Linked DNA regions of Struthio camelus. The protein of the gene in region 1 interacts with the protein of each later gene in a pairwise test. Links are inferred from orthologs where the notes say so. Each region holds a gene or a part of one and is shown on either strand. Other genes may lie near its edges. The genes, in order: HPGDS and ABHD17A.

Region 1 (7,238 bases):
ATCAACTAAAGAGAGACTGCGAGGTCATTCGAGTCATAATTTCTGTATACCTTTATCTTTTCTCCTTCTGCTCAAACTCAGCCCAGTATGAGACTGGATTTGCAGGATGGCAGTGTTACTTGTTGGTGGGCAGGAGGGAGCTGAGGCAGGCTGGAAGGCTGTAACTCCCACGTGCCCCCCACCATGAGTACCTCCCGGTACAGAATATGTAGCGGGTATCAAAAGATCCCTTTGCCATTTCTGTTACCCAAATCCAGAGCTGAGTCTCACAGTCTGATTTAGCTGACTGCTTTTCTCCTATTCCCTTTCATGCTTGTGCTTTACAGAGTCATTTCTTCAAGGGCATGTATTTAGTCCCCTCTGAAAAGGGGCAAAATGGAGTATTTAATTTTCTCAGTCCATTGTAGTAGGTTTTTTTATGGGAGTCTTAGCAGACTGACTCCAGATAAGTGAGGTTTTTTAAAATAATGTTGGTTTACAGTTGGATGGGTTATCTGGCATTTGGCAAGTTTGGTTGGTTGGTTTGTTTTTTTTTTTTCCTCTTGGACTACCTGGTAAAAGAGTGAAAATATTGCCGTCTGAAATATTCTATGCAGTATATATGATAAATTTTCAGCTGGTGTGAATAAACGTAGCTTTTAGTGGAATGTCATGCCGTTTGCTAACTCAACTCCAACAGTATGTCAGCGGCTTTTATAGTGGTATTACTCACCACTGAGATTTTGGTAAAAGGTATTTTGAAAGTGTGCACCGTCTTCAACTATTTCTGCTTTCTAACTGCTTAGTAGAAGGTTGCACATGGCAAAACCAAGAAAACTCTTCATATAATAAAGACCTGGTGAACTATTTTCTGAGTAGATCATACAAGCTGTAAGGCTTACCCTCTGTCCAAGCTAGGCTTTTAGGCAGAAGACCTGAAGAGTAGCAATAGGTCTTAAGTCCATTGTCCTAACATTAACAAAGGATGGACTGGTAAAATTGTGAAGAAAAGTAAGACGACGACTGCATATAGGAATGGCACGTTCTGCCACAATATACCGTGAGACTGTTCCTGCCGTGATCCTATCTGTGGCAGTACTGAAGACCCTGGAACATAGGTCTAGAAGTCTAAAGGTCAAACCCATATAGCAGCAGAGCTGGTAGGTTTGTTGGTGGCTCTGCAGCAGAGAGCTGGCTACCACCTGTTTGCAGGTGCCCCAAACCGAACATAGGTAATTGCCACAAAGCAAGTATGTTTTGGGGAAGGCAGGAACAGTGGCTGCTTGCTTTAACTGCATGTGCGTTGACATGACAAAAATGGGAATCCCCTCTTCCACAGCTGTCAATAGATTAAATCGTCACCCTGAGTGAGGTCTGGAAGACAGATTTTTCTCGAAATTACATGATAGCATATGTAAGTTTTTGAATATGCATAGCTCTGCTGCTATGCAATTGAGACAGAGCTGCATTTTATAGCATATACTGTAAATGCAGTAATCACTGAATCACCGGGATGAGTGGCTTTGTTTTTGGTAATAAGAATTAAACTAATTCAAAGAACCATTTTGTGTGCATTTGCTGTTTAGAATTTGAAGCGCTTCAGTCCCATTTCTGTCAAAATTGATATGAGTGTGTGTCTGTGTGCACGCGCGTCTGTGGTGGGGGCTTATTCCCGGTGTGCCTGTATCCTTAGGGGAGGTGGATTCTGTTTTGGGTTAAGGAAAACAAAAGAGTAACCAGAAGTAAATTTCTGAAAGACCTCTATGTCTAAATCTTCTTGTTTGGCAAAAGCTGCAGCAACTTTTGAGTGTAAGAGTACCAGTGGTCCCACACAGTTGTTAGACGCATACAAGTCCGGGAAAAATACTTCACAGCTAAGCTTTGTTTGAATAGTTTGAAATGAGCAGTAAAGAAAGAAGGATGACTTTTACGGGAGAAAATGTGTGCAAGAAGATTATGCACACAGGCAAATGCAGGCAGTTAGAATTAAAGAGGGGGAAAAAAATACTGAACAGATTTAGAGGATCATTTTGAAATAAAAACCAGAACACCTCAGCAAAAAAAGTATTGTCCCCTTTGAAAAAGGGGAGAAAAAGCAGCAAATGAAAGCAGATGCCGCAAGATTTCTTCTGTAAAATAATGGTGAGAATTAGGATGAGGGTATTGTCTTCTGGTCAGCAGCAGATTAACAAGAATTCAGAAAAGGGCTAGAGTAGGATGTAAAAGTGATGCGCAGGAATTGGTTAGCGCTGCTTAATATTCATCTAAGTCCTGGCATTAACCTAGATTTGGTTTGGTTGCGTTAAGTGACTGTATGCGAGTCAGCTTTTCTAACAGAGTACTGCTTCAAGGTGGTTTTTCACTCACTGAGAAGCGTGCGTTGGGGAACGCCAGCAGCTTTCCCGCATCGTTGCTACGCCCGCTTGGGTTGTCTTTTCCTTGCACCGTGTTTCTCTGTCGGGTATCCTGATTATCGGAGTGGGTCAATACCGAGAGCATCGGAGACTGGTTGAGAAGCGGGGGCTTGCGGCATCGACAGGCTAGCAGTCTGCCTTTTTGCCCCTGGAAAAGTAGTCTGTGGTTTCTGAGGTCTCCTTGCGGCAGTGCGGGGGCCTTACGCGCGGCGGGGACTTCAGAGATGCCTGTGAGTGGCAGAGGAGGTGTACCGATGGGTACACCTCGAGTTAGGCGGGCAGCGCGCCTACGGAGCTCGCTCTGCCAGCAGCGCGAGTCGGGGACTTCTGCGCCCGGTCAGCTTAACACGCACCGTAGGAACCGAAACGCGCGCGGTCCTCGCCGTTAAGCGTCGCATCATTTGACGCAAACAAACCCCGCGCAGCTAGCATAACGGTATCCCCGAGGAGGGCGGAACAAGGTGGGAAGAGCAGGAAAGGGGAAAGAGAGAAGAAGCTGGACGCTTTGTAGGCAGCAAAGCTTAAAAGGAACTCACTCTGGTGCAGCGAAACGCGCTCCCTTCCTCGGCGCACAGGAGCCCCAGTGCTGGGCTCAGTGCGAAAGGCTTACATTTATATCTGTACTGTTTATTAATATGCAAACCACTCCCCATCGTGACTCACTCTCAGGAGTACACACACAGCAAACGTGTCGTTTCCTCAGATAACGTGCAAGCTTTGTGTCTTTTCTCGGACCGCGATACCAGACTTGGCACTGGGAATTTTTCAGCTTGCACTCAAGGACAAGAAATATTTAAAGTGCTGTATTTAACCAAAAAAAAAAACAAAAAAAAAGTAGTAGACACTTCAATGATCAGGCACCAGGGAGCTGAGCCAGATGTCGGGTGTGTTTTTGTTTGTTTGTTTTTTGGTCCCGTTCCCCCCCCCCTTCTTCCCCCCCCGCCCCGGCAACTTGTGTGCAGGAGCAGGCCAAGAAACTGCTGTCTTCAATTATCTGTAAATGACATGAAGCCCTCCAGTATCTGATCTAATTATGGAACAATGCGTTAAATAGCTGCGATCTCATTAAAGCAAGGGAGCCGGGGGAAAAAAAAAGGCAAACAAATAAAGTATCGTATCTATACCTTTGTCGTAAAGCACAAAGTATGGATTTGTGGAGGAAGGGGGGTTGCTGGTGTTGCAACTTATTGGTGCCTTGACCTTAACAAAGTCCGTTCGGTATTGTTGTGCTTTGATTTCCTGTTCGTACGTGACCGAATGCATGTGTGCCATACCGCACGACTTCGTTTTGAAGCCTCATTCACTTTTTGTAATAGATGTTTGCCAGTGCTCTTTGCAGGTGCGGAGAGCAGGCCTGACCCGAGCGCTCTCCCCCGCGTGGAGGAGCGGTCAGATTCCTGTAGCTTGCAGCATTAATCATTTGCCTCAAAACAACTCATTTCCATGCAGTAAATGCGTTTCCCTGGTGTCAGCAGCTGAGTCTTCGACTACCAACACCCTTAACAGCCAAGAGAAAGTTTACAAAAAAGCCAGCATCGTCTGATCAGTACTGGTATAACCTGACTTAAGAGCCAAAGTGCCCAGGGGCGCCTCAGTGGTGATACTTCCTTGCTTTTGGAGCCCTTGACTTTGTCGTCTAGATTTATGCATTAACATTGCTTTTCTCCAGTATAAAACGGGGGGGGGGGTGTTATCACTTAAAAAAAAAAAAAACGGAGTATTCTCCAGGAATTGTTTTCAGTTGGCAACAGTTTGTTCCTATCTTGGCTGGATTGCCAATGACGCTGCTCAGTAAAGCATTAGTAAGAATTGGGGAGTTAGCTTTTACTTTTAATGCAAGTTAGTTAATGAGTTAAACCCGTACCTCACCGTGAGAGTTGTCATCGTTTAGCTGGTATAAAGCACAAGCGCTTCCTTGCACCAGAATCTTTCCTCTCGTGATTTATAAGGTAGCAAAAAGCTCGTTTTCACTTTACCTGTGGGAAATCTTCAATGCCGATGCAGGAGGAAATCAGGGCCTCTTAAAAGTCTATGGCAAAGCTGTGGTAGGACCAAGTCTTTAACTTCACGTTTGCAAATCGGTAGCTGGTCCACGTTCAGGGGAAGTCGTGCTCAGGGCTGCATCCTGTGGGCATGCGTAATTCTCTCCCTTCGGTGCTGCTCTGAAAGCCTGACAGCCTAGCGCAGTGTGATTATAAAAGCCAAACGTATTAAAAAGCTAAATGTACAAAGGGTGTTTTTCAGGAGTACCTGCTCCTCAGCCGAGTAAAGCTCTTTACAGGATCAGGTGGTAGGCTTATTCTCTAGAAGCAAAAATAATTCTTGCTTTCTGCCAGATTCTGCCCAAGTCTCATCCAAATGATCAAATGAATTCCTGGGCTTCCTAAAGCCAGAAGTGATTTGTGTCCATAAGTTGAGAATAACGAAGTTAATAATGCACTGAACCGATTTAACCTTGGCTTCCTCTGATAATGATTTCTTACAGAGTAAGCCCTCTATTTATTTTACCCATCCAGCCTGCAACGGCTATTGATCGCATGAAAAAGTTGCTGGACTGCCCACTCCTATGCAGTCAAGCTGCGACTGTTTATCACAACTTGTTGCAAGAGACGCTTCATCTAAAGTACCTTTTGCTTGTGTCCAACCCCAAAAAGCTTTAGAAGCTGTGAGGACATTGCTAATTGAGACTGTGGTCTAGGAAAAGAATTACGTATCAAATCTGGGAGGAGAGACGTCCGTTTGGATCAGACACCTTCAGATCAGACTGTAGCAGAGGCGTTTTCGTAGGAGAGTCTGTTGTCACATGCTGCTGCTGCTCGGCTTTTCAACACTTTGCCCCGTGGTCTTAGAGCAGCATCTGGGTTTCTGGCAGTGAAGTTGCAACTGGCTGAAGCTGACACTTTTTCTTGGTCGGTGCTGAGGCTCTCCACTCTATTTGAAAGCCCTAGATAAATCCAGAGGAAGCCACATGGATTGAAACTAAGTCCAAGGTTTAGTTCAACAGATGTCCCTTTTGGAGCATTCGTGGGCTATTGTTGGGTCAGAAAATCGTGGCACAGATCTGTTTCTCTGCGAGTCCATCAGTATTGCTGGTCATTCTTCTGCCTTTTGAGTCACTGCCAGTCCCTCCCCACCTCTCCTCTCTGTCACTGCTCTACTTTGTCCCAATGTTGATAGTTAAGCATAACACTGAAGTAAGACACAGCATTTCATGGTTTTGCCAGTGGTGCAAGTCTCTACCATGAGACAGCTTGCTTGATGCTGTCAGTGGCCCAGTTGAGGTGAATCAACGTGTCGGCAGAAACATCTGCAGCGGAAGTGGTTTCTGATGGCTCATTTTGGGAACAGTGAGGGTCCAGCTTCCGCCCCCCTCCCCCCCCCGAGCTGAAACGGGAGTAAATCCGTGACCATGCTGCAGGCTCTCCTCTCCCTGGAGGAAATTCCCAGCCAGGCATTTACAGTGAGCAGACTACAATGGGCAAGACATGACCATCTTACTGAGAGTGGTAACTTCCAGTTAATGCCTCTACATTTCCACTTGCCTGTCCAGGAGAATAACACCATTCAAGCCAAAAGTTTCGCTAAAAATTTGGAAATAGCGCTCGTGTTCTTAGCAATTTCCGTGCCCCCCCCCCCTTCCTTTTTTCTCCAATTATGGTGTTTTGCTGTTATTACTAAATATTCTTTTAATTTTCTTAAGCGAGTCTGTAGAAAATGATTTTAGGAAATGAATAATACCACCTTACATAGCTTGTAAGCCCCATCATGAGGCATATTAGGCCTGTATTTAGAAACCTGTCAATGCCGCAATGTCCTAAGACCACTCAGCCTTTTATGTGCAGTAGGGTTCAGCACTTCGCATTCTTTTAGCGAACAGTAAATTCAGCCAGAGCAATTCACTTTTAAATAGACCTGATGTTTGGCAACTGCAACCTAAATTTACAAAGAGTTTTGCTCAAAGAAGAAAATGTCTTGAAATATCAGTTGCTTAGTTTTGAAAAAGTTGAAATGTTTACAGTTTTCCTTTTGAGTGAATGTTTGTAGGGTTTTTTTTTTCTAATTTGAAAAATAACAGTCAGAAAAAGGTGATTGAACTTTAAAAGCATCATTGTGTTAATAGAAGCATGTTCAAAAATTTTCAGCTTGCTTTCTCCATGCATATGCATTGCTTTACTTAGGATTTTTTTTTTTTTTGTAAAAAGGATATCAAAGGGTCATGAACACCTTTGAAAGAAATTATACCTTCTTAGTCAAACATGATTCCAGCTTTACTATAGCTTTAGTAAAAGGCAGCATTTAATGATCAATCAAGTCGGAGATAGGCTTTCAGAACTCGGCAGCTTAGAGAAGTAGTCGACTAAAGGAAGGCTGCTCATTTTGGGTTTTACGTGATAACTTTATTTGTGTGCTCCTGGCAGCAGGGTGCCTTTTTGCTAAGAACAGTAAAAAGCAACAACTGAAAGATTCTTCCTCAAACTGCTACGTGGGGAGCAAGAGCAATAAAAAGCAAACCATTAGACACAGTTGCCTGTGTTGGGAAATAGTCCCTTGGTTTTATTCATGAGGAGTAGAAATGTTCACGGGTGCAGGTGTTTGTATATGAAGGATCCAAAGCCCAGAGAAGAAAACTGAAGGACTTGTGCTAACTATAGTGGGCTTCTGTCTCAGAAGCTGTTTTTGCAATCCAGAATTTAAATAGAGCCGTAACTACTCATTAATTCCAAATGCCTAACTCTTTCCTAGTGCATTTGCTTCAAAATTTCCTTTCTCTAACAGTTGGTCCCGAGTTAGCTGGCACACTATTTATTTTCTTTATTTTAGCGCTCCTATTTCTGAGAAACTGGC
Region 2 (7,506 bases), on another chromosome or scaffold:
GCCAGTGCTGGTGCTGCCCGCGGACTCGGGCTCAGGGACCATGGCGTACGTGGGCTCCGGGGGTAGGAAGGCCAGTTTGGCCGCAATACGACTGGGGCAGGGCGGGCAGCAAAAGAGGCAGCAGAGCTGGCTGACTGACAGCCCGTTCATGACGGCGGCTTCAGCGCTAAACCAAGCTGCGCCTGGAGCAAGCAAGGATCCAAATCAGACAGTCAGGGACCAGTGATGGCCTGGGAAAGCCTCTGTCCTCCACCTGCCCTCGTCACAGCTGCCAACAGAACAGGGCAGCCGGCAGTCTCCTGTGGACTGTGGCGGCTGCCGTCCGTCTGTCCATCAACAGCGGCGGTGGCCTGCAACCAGAAGGTCAGACAAACAATGAGGGAGGGGGAGGCTCCCCCCAAAGTTCACCACATGCACGCACCACAATTACAGCATATGTGATAAGCGTGACATCAGAGCATATGCCACAAGCGGGATGCACAGCCCAGCCCCACTCAGAGAGCAGGGACAAACACCCCCTGCCCAAACACAGGCCGTCCCCAACGCAGGTTACATCTCCTCTCCTCAAACTTGGATGGTTCGTTGCTTCTTCCACTGGCAAACACACACACAACCCTCACCCTATGCCACACACAACACGCATAGCACATCTCCCTCCCAGGCAGAGGGGCACAACGTCTTCCCCCAACAGACACACTGCTCCCTCCCCGCAGCGTGCGCCCGCCACCGAAAACCACACAGCCCACGCTCACGCTGAGCCCACACACGCACACCCACATGCTCCCCATCCAGAAAACCAAGCCCCAGCACTGTACAACACTTCACAGGCACGCACGCCCACACCCCCCCAAATCACACACCGCAACCCCCGCAGAGATTTGCAGCATCTTCACGCAGGCCCACGCCAGGGAAGCGAGGACAGCGGGCGCAGGACTTCTCGCAGGCACGCACACTCCCAGGTGGTCGGTGCTACAAAGGAAACGGCACCCCGACGTCCCCCCACAAACGCCGGCAGAGGCTGGCCCACATGCTCGCAGCTAGAATGCAAACCCCCAAAAAAAGCAAGAGAGGGGGAAGGGGGGAAAAAAAAAGCAACTATTTTCTGCAAGTTCGGGCACAGACTCGCTGTTGAGGAATGTCAAACCAGCCCACACCCCCAGGAATTCACTCCATCTGCTTCTGAAGGGCTGGGAAAGAAGAGGAAAGGGTGGAGGGAGAGAGGCCTGCCCATCCAGCCAGAAGGGGAAGGCATGCATGGAAATATTTCTCTCCAGAATAAATGGATTCCCCTCCCGCCCCTGGACACGCACACGTGCCCCGGCATGGCCGTAGTCCCCCCTCTTTGGAGGTGAATTCGGGTCTCCTTCAGGCCAGTGAGAATCCGCGGTGGCCGATGTGACCCAGAGCCACGAGGGTGGCATCCTGGACATGCCAGCTCTGGGATCCTCCTAGCATAACCGGCTGCTCACCCCAAAGTGCCAGTGGAGCAGGGGGATGCACGCATCCACACACCCGCGGGCACTACAGTACCCACAACAGGCAACGGCTGCGAGGCAGGTCACACACCTGCCTGCAGGGACACGTATGGTGTGTCAGTACAGGCATGCAGAAACACATGGCTGTAGGCAGCACTGCAGAGCACACACACCGTGTGTCACACATGCACCTGGCAAATCCCGAGCCCCGGTGTCATTTTGGGGACACACACCACACAGGAAGCCCCCACCACTGGGGCTGGCACGCACCTCCGGGCGCTCGGGCCACCCGCGGGGCCGAGTCCTCTGCCTTCAGGCCCACACTGACCCCACACCCCAGACCCACCAGCACACCAGGTTGCACGTCCAGACCCACATACACACTCACCCCATTGCGTGTGTCCATACACACACATACAGACCCCAGCCCCACATACCTCACTGATGGGGGTGTCCAGACCCCCTCACACACTGAGCCAGACCCACACACACACAAACCCACCCCATAAAGACCCCCTCCCCAGCCCCACGCATCCCAGTGATGGGGGCATCCAGGCCCCCTCACGCACTAACCCCAGGCCCAGAACGTGAGTCCAGGTCTGGGTCCGGGTCCAGGCGCCTCCCCAACCTCCACAGACTAACCCGAGCACCACACTGACCTCCCAGCCCACGAGCACCCCACCGATGGGGGTGTCCAGCCCCCCCCCCCCACTGTCCCCAGGCCCATAAGCCCCACCGGTGGGGTTGTCCAGCCCCCCTTCACTGTCCCCAGGCCCATAAGCCCCACCGGTGGGGTTGTCCAGCCCCCCTCCCCACAGTCCCCAGCCCCATAAGCCCCACAAGCCCCACAGACGAGGGCTGTCCAGACCCCCTCCCCACACTGTCCCCAGCCCCATAAGCCCCGACGATGGGGGTGTCCAGCCCCCCTCCCCACAGTCCCCAGCCCCATAAGCCCCACAGACGAGGGCTGTCCAGCCCCCCTCCCCACACCGTCCCCAGCCCCACAAGTCCCACCGGTGGGGTTGTCCAGCCCCCCTCCCCACACCGTCCTCAGCCCCACAAGTCCCACCGGTGGGGTTGTCCAGCCCCCCTCCCCACACTGTCCCCAGCCCCACAAGCCCCACCGGTGGGGGTTGTCCAGCCCCCCTCCCCACACCGTCCCCAGCCCCACAAGCCCCACCGGTGGGGTTGTCCAGCCCCCCTCCCCACACTGTCCCCAGCCCCACAAGCCCCACCGGTGGGGGTTGTCCAGCCCCCCTCCCCACACCGTCCCCAGCCCCACACACCCCACCGGTGGGGGTGCCCAGCCCCCCCCCCCACCGACCCAGCCCCACACGCAGAGCCTGGCTGCAGGCCCCCCATACAAACACGCACCGCTCCCCCCAGCCCCCCGGCACCTGCGTGCCCAGGCCCCCTCCATTACCTGGACATGCTGCTGCTGTGGCGGCGGTGCGAGCTGGGGGCTGCGCTCGGCGCCGGCCGGGCCGGGCTCGGCCCCCGCTCGGGGATCGCTGCGGGGCGGGCGGCCGCTGCGGGCCGCCGAGCCGGGGGCGGCCCTGCATGGCGGCGGCGGCGGCGCTGCTACTGCGCGCCCCGCCCCGGCCCCGCCCCGCGCGGCGCGGGAAGTGACGCCCCCGCCCAGGCCCCGCCCCGCCCCGCGCGCCCCGCCCCGCCCCGGCTCCCGGCCCTGCGCGCGGCCGGGGGCGGCTGTGCAGCCGCTCGGCGCTGGGCACGCCGCGGGGCTGCGGTGCACCCTCGCCCCCGTCCTGCACGCTCCCGGGGCTGCAATGCACCTTCCCCGCGTCCTGCACGCTCCGAGGCTGCAAAGCGCCCTCCCTGCCCCGTCCTGCGTGCTCCTGGGGCTGCAATGCACCCTCCCCCCCCCCATCCTGCATGCTCCCCGGGGCTGCAATGCACCCTCCCCGCCCCATCCTGCATGCTCCCAGGGCTGCAATGCACCTTCCCCCCGACCCCGTCCTGCACGCTCCGAGGCTGCAAAGCACCCTCCCTGCCCTGTCCTGCATGCTCCAGGGGCTGCAATGCACCCTCGCCCCCTTCTTGCATGCTCCTGGGGCTGCAATGCACCCTCCCTCCCGATCCTGCATGCTCCGAGGCTGCAGTGCTGCTGTTCCCCTGCACGCCGGCCCTGCGTGCTCCCAGGGCAGCAGTGTCCCTGCCTTGCAGGCCCTGCATGCTCCGGAGCTGCAATGCACCCCCCCCCCACCCTTGCAGGCCCTGCATGCTCCCAGGGATCCTTTCCCCCTCCCTTACAGGCTGTGCATGGTGTCAGGGGGCTGTGATGCACCCCCCCCCGCCCAGCTCACAGGGAGGGCATGCTGCACCCCTCCCCCCTTGCATGCTGCAGGGCTGCGGTGTTCCTCCCTGCAGGGCTGGCATGTGCCCAAGGCTGCACGGTTGCTTCCCTGCAGCAGTCACCCTTGCTTGAGGAGGCTGTGTGCCGGGGGCTGCAGCACGGGTACCCTGCGGGACGCAGGGGACAAGCCCTTCTCCAGACCAGCTCACCACCAAGCCTCCCCTATTAGCCATGGGGAAACTGAGGCACAGAGCATGCCTTGGCCAAAGCAAGGTGCAGCTGGGACACCTGGGTTTGCCCGGCAGCACAGGGTGGGAGCGGGGCTTTGCAGTTTGCAGAGGGAACCGGGAGCGATTGCAGCGAGGGACGAGAGGGGCATTTCGAGGGCAGAAATACCCATTCATCTGTGCTCTGAGCGCCAACGCCAGCTCAGGAATCGGCTGTGCGCATAAAGAACCATCCACAGCATCCAAGCAAACTAGAATATATTAATATTTACAGATCTGGTTTCATACTCAGAAAAATAAAAGAGAAAGGGAGGTGGTGGAGGAGCAGCCGGCTGCCTTTTCGCATCCGGGCTCTCCTGCTCCATGTGCGGCAGCAGGCTGCTTCCCCGTCCCTCCCGAGTCTGCAAACTTTGTGCGAACAGTAACACAGGGGTTCTTACAATTTCTCCTGGCCCCGCCTGGGCAGCCTGTCCCCGTGGTGCTGAAAGGGCTCAGGGGCACTCTCCCAAAAAGCCAAATCCATCGATGTAAATCAAGGGGGGTTTCTGCAGAGCCTAAGGCAAGAGTGAACTGGGAGAGCGTTCAAAGCTCGTTTTCCACTGCTCCAGCTCAAAACCCAACTGAGCCCCCACTTGCCTGGGCTAATGCGCCGACAGCACGGCAAGCAGGCCAAGCCAACGTCGCTTGTTCGCCCCACCGCACCGCAGAGGAGATCCCAAATTCTGGAGCTGCTAAGCCATGGGTGCTGGGCAGCCCCCAGGCTTTCATCCCCCACCGAAAAGGCAGACAGCCCCTGGCTGCAGCCCTGCCAGCTCCACGGTGCATTTTTGCACTGATCTCCACCAGCTGATGGTTTGGCCTGGTGCGCTTAACAGCTCTCTGCAGCTGGGATACGAGTTGATATTGAAGGAAACGCTCAAAACACATGGGATGGTTAAAAGCGGGGCAGAGGCTGATGTTTTCTCCTGGGACCCATCTGGATTTCTTTGCTTGTGAGACGGAGCCATCGCAGCCTCGCCGGCCTGGCTCTCAGCTTTGCAGCGGCCCGGGAAGAAGAGCCTGGAAAAAAGTCCTTCAGGAAAAGCCGCGGCTGATGCAGCCTCTGGGGGCAGCGGAGGGGGAGACCCAAACCCTGCCAAAAGATTTCTCCCAGAGACCTTTTTCCCCTGGGGCCGCGGCTGAGGCTCAGCCGAGGCCGATGTCAAGGGTTAGGTGAAACATGAAGCCCAGAGCTCCCCCTGGGGTGAGGCTGCAAAAGGGCCCCTAAAAGAAGAGCGAGGCTGCAAAACGGTTTCTCCCATGCTGTTCTTCCAACTGGGCTGGTGATCAGGGTCTTCTCCAAGGCTCGGCCCATGACCAGAAGCTAAAGTTAGGGTTGGGAACGAGACAAAAGAACCCCAGACCCTCCAGGTGCCTTTCTGAGGACCTCAGAGACCCCTGTTTGGCTTTCAGTGCGCCCCAGGAGCCTCTGTGTGCCTTTCAGGGAGTACCAGGGTCCTCTGTTTTCCTTTTGGACAGCCCTGGAGCCTTCCATGTGCCTTTCCTTGCACCCCAGAGCCCTCCAAATGTCTTTCAGGATGCACTAGGGATCTCCATTTGGCTTCTGGAGTGCCCCAGAGTAATCCATGTGCCTTTTGGGGTGCTCCAGAGACCTCCGTGTGGCTCTCTGCATGCCCCCGAGCCCTTCATGTGGCTTTCGGTGTTTCCCAGGACCCTCCATGTGCCTTTCCATGCACCCCAGATCCCTTTGCTTGGCTTTAGGAGCGCCCTGGAGTTCATTGCAGCAATGGTGACTTCCACGTCCCCTGGGGACCCGGCCCTGCCTCTCTCCCCACAAGGACAAGCAGCGAGATGAGAAGGCAAGAAGGTTGAGCGAGCTTTCAGAGCAAATACACTCATAGGAAAGGAGGACTCCCACTGAATATCAGCAAAGCCTACAGGGGAGGAAACGGGTCTCCGAGACTTGCATGCGTGCAGGAAAGGTTAGAGGTTTGATGGTCTAAGCTTTGTGCACAACCCTGATCAGAAAGAATCATATAAGGCAGAAGGTAGAGTTAAGTGGAAAGAACAGGCTGTCAGAGCGCGGGCTGCAGCCGTGCTACATCCAGGCTCGCTTGGGAAGGGGCCAGCAGTTATGTACGGGGTGAGAGAGGAGCGTTTGAAGCCCACAGAAGGCTGGTGCAAGGGTGTCCCTCAGGCCAGCCAAGTCCTTGGAAGGAGCAAGCCCCACAGGCTGGCTCCCTCCCAGCGGTGAGAGGCAAGAGGCACAGAGTGGTACTTTCTTAACAGTCCTGACTTGTGGCTGGAGGTGTCTGTGTCGCCGCAAGCCACAAAGTAACTTTACTCTGTCAGTACTCTGCTGCTTAATGATCCAACTGCTTCAACAGCTTCTCGAAGGGAAGGGAGGGGTATTTGGGGTGTTAAAACTACCGAATCCTCTTTCCCGCATCTGAGATCAGGCAGAGCAGAGGGTAGACTTGCCGCTGGGATTCCTCAGCTCCCGCTTCTACATCTGCCACGAACAGACAATGGAGCAGAGGGAACAAAGTATGGAGACAGCTCACGGACACTAGCGGCTAGTCCTGGGAGGTTTGCAGAACTCAGAGCTGCAGGTCGAACGGAAAGGCTGCCTGGGGGAACCCTGCTGCCCGCGCCGTGCAAACCACCCTGGCGGAAGACAAGTCCAAAGGTCTTAGCACTGGCGGTGGGTGGAGCAGGGACGATCCCTTTTCCTTTTGGAAGTTGGTCAAAAATGGATCAATTGAGCAGCGGCTTTAGGACAGACAGGAAGGGAGAGAAGGAATCCCAGATCTCTGCCAAAAAGGTGCGAGAACTCTCCACATCTCGGTGTAGATTCACGTCTGCTGCTGGAGGCCCCATCATGCCACTGATGGGGTTGGGAGGAAGAGGAGGGCTGGGAGGAAGGGGAGGAGCACCAGGCCAGGTGGCTGTAGTTCTAGCTGCTCAGCTTCCTTCACAACTTTTGGATCTTCTCAGCTATGATGATGGGGTTCTCCTTACGGATTTTCTCAGCTGCTTCTGCCTTATAGTCGTACGGGCAGGCGTGCATGTCTGAGTACCGGTGAATGGCACAGAACAGGTTCCCACAGCGGCAGTCAAACCCTGAAGGGAGGAACGGCAAAGAGAGAAAGCCATGTTAATCACTGTCCAGCCAGATGAAAAGGCAGCAGAGCCCGGACTGTTCCCTGCTAGGCCATGAAACCCCACTAAAGCAGAAAGAGAAGGTCAGACTAATAAGAGGGGCTGCTGGCTGGGATGGGTGAAAGTGAGTCTTTGAGTGCGGGGGAAGATTTTAGGTAGCTCTTAGGTTTCCTCTGGCTTAGCTGCTCTCAGGAAAACTGTCATGAGTGCACGTGTTCTCTGGGGCAGGCCCAGCTGTCATAGCAACGGGCAAAGCTCTCGAGAGCAGTTGTTCTCCACATTCCCTAGAGATAAGGGAATGCGATTGCCAGAGACAGCAGAGCAAGAG

The links.
Region 2: the proteins of HPGDS (region 1) and ABHD17A interact in binary tests that used the Homo sapiens proteins (3 or more experiments, as listed by UniProt). The two-hybrid records come from large-scale screens. The link is inferred for Struthio camelus from reciprocal best matches to the Homo sapiens genes HPGDS and ABHD17A.

What each region holds. Positions count from the first base shown.
Region 1 is NC_090945.1:14,953,402-14,960,639, forward strand, and holds the start of HPGDS (hematopoietic prostaglandin D synthase), read right to left. Parts: upstream 3,062-7,238; 5' UTR 3,047-3,061; coding exon 2,930-3,046; intron 1-2,929. UniProt on the Homo sapiens protein: Bifunctional enzyme which catalyzes both the conversion of PGH2 to PGD2, a prostaglandin involved in smooth muscle contraction/relaxation and a potent inhibitor of platelet aggregation, and the conjugation of glutathione with a wide range of aryl halides and organic isothiocyanates.
Region 2 is NC_090967.1:3,072,109-3,079,614, forward strand, and holds the start of ABHD17A (alpha/beta hydrolase domain-containing protein 17A), read right to left. Parts: upstream 3,044-7,506; 5' UTR 2,899-3,043; intron 1,182-2,898; exon of another isoform or gene 861-1,181; intron 351-860; 5' UTR 151-350; coding exon 1-150. Other genes in the region: AN1-type zinc finger protein 5, read right to left, coding at 6,991-7,139. UniProt on the Homo sapiens protein: Hydrolyzes fatty acids from S-acylated cysteine residues in proteins. Has depalmitoylating activity towards NRAS. Has depalmitoylating activity towards DLG4/PSD95. May have depalmitoylating activity towards MAP6.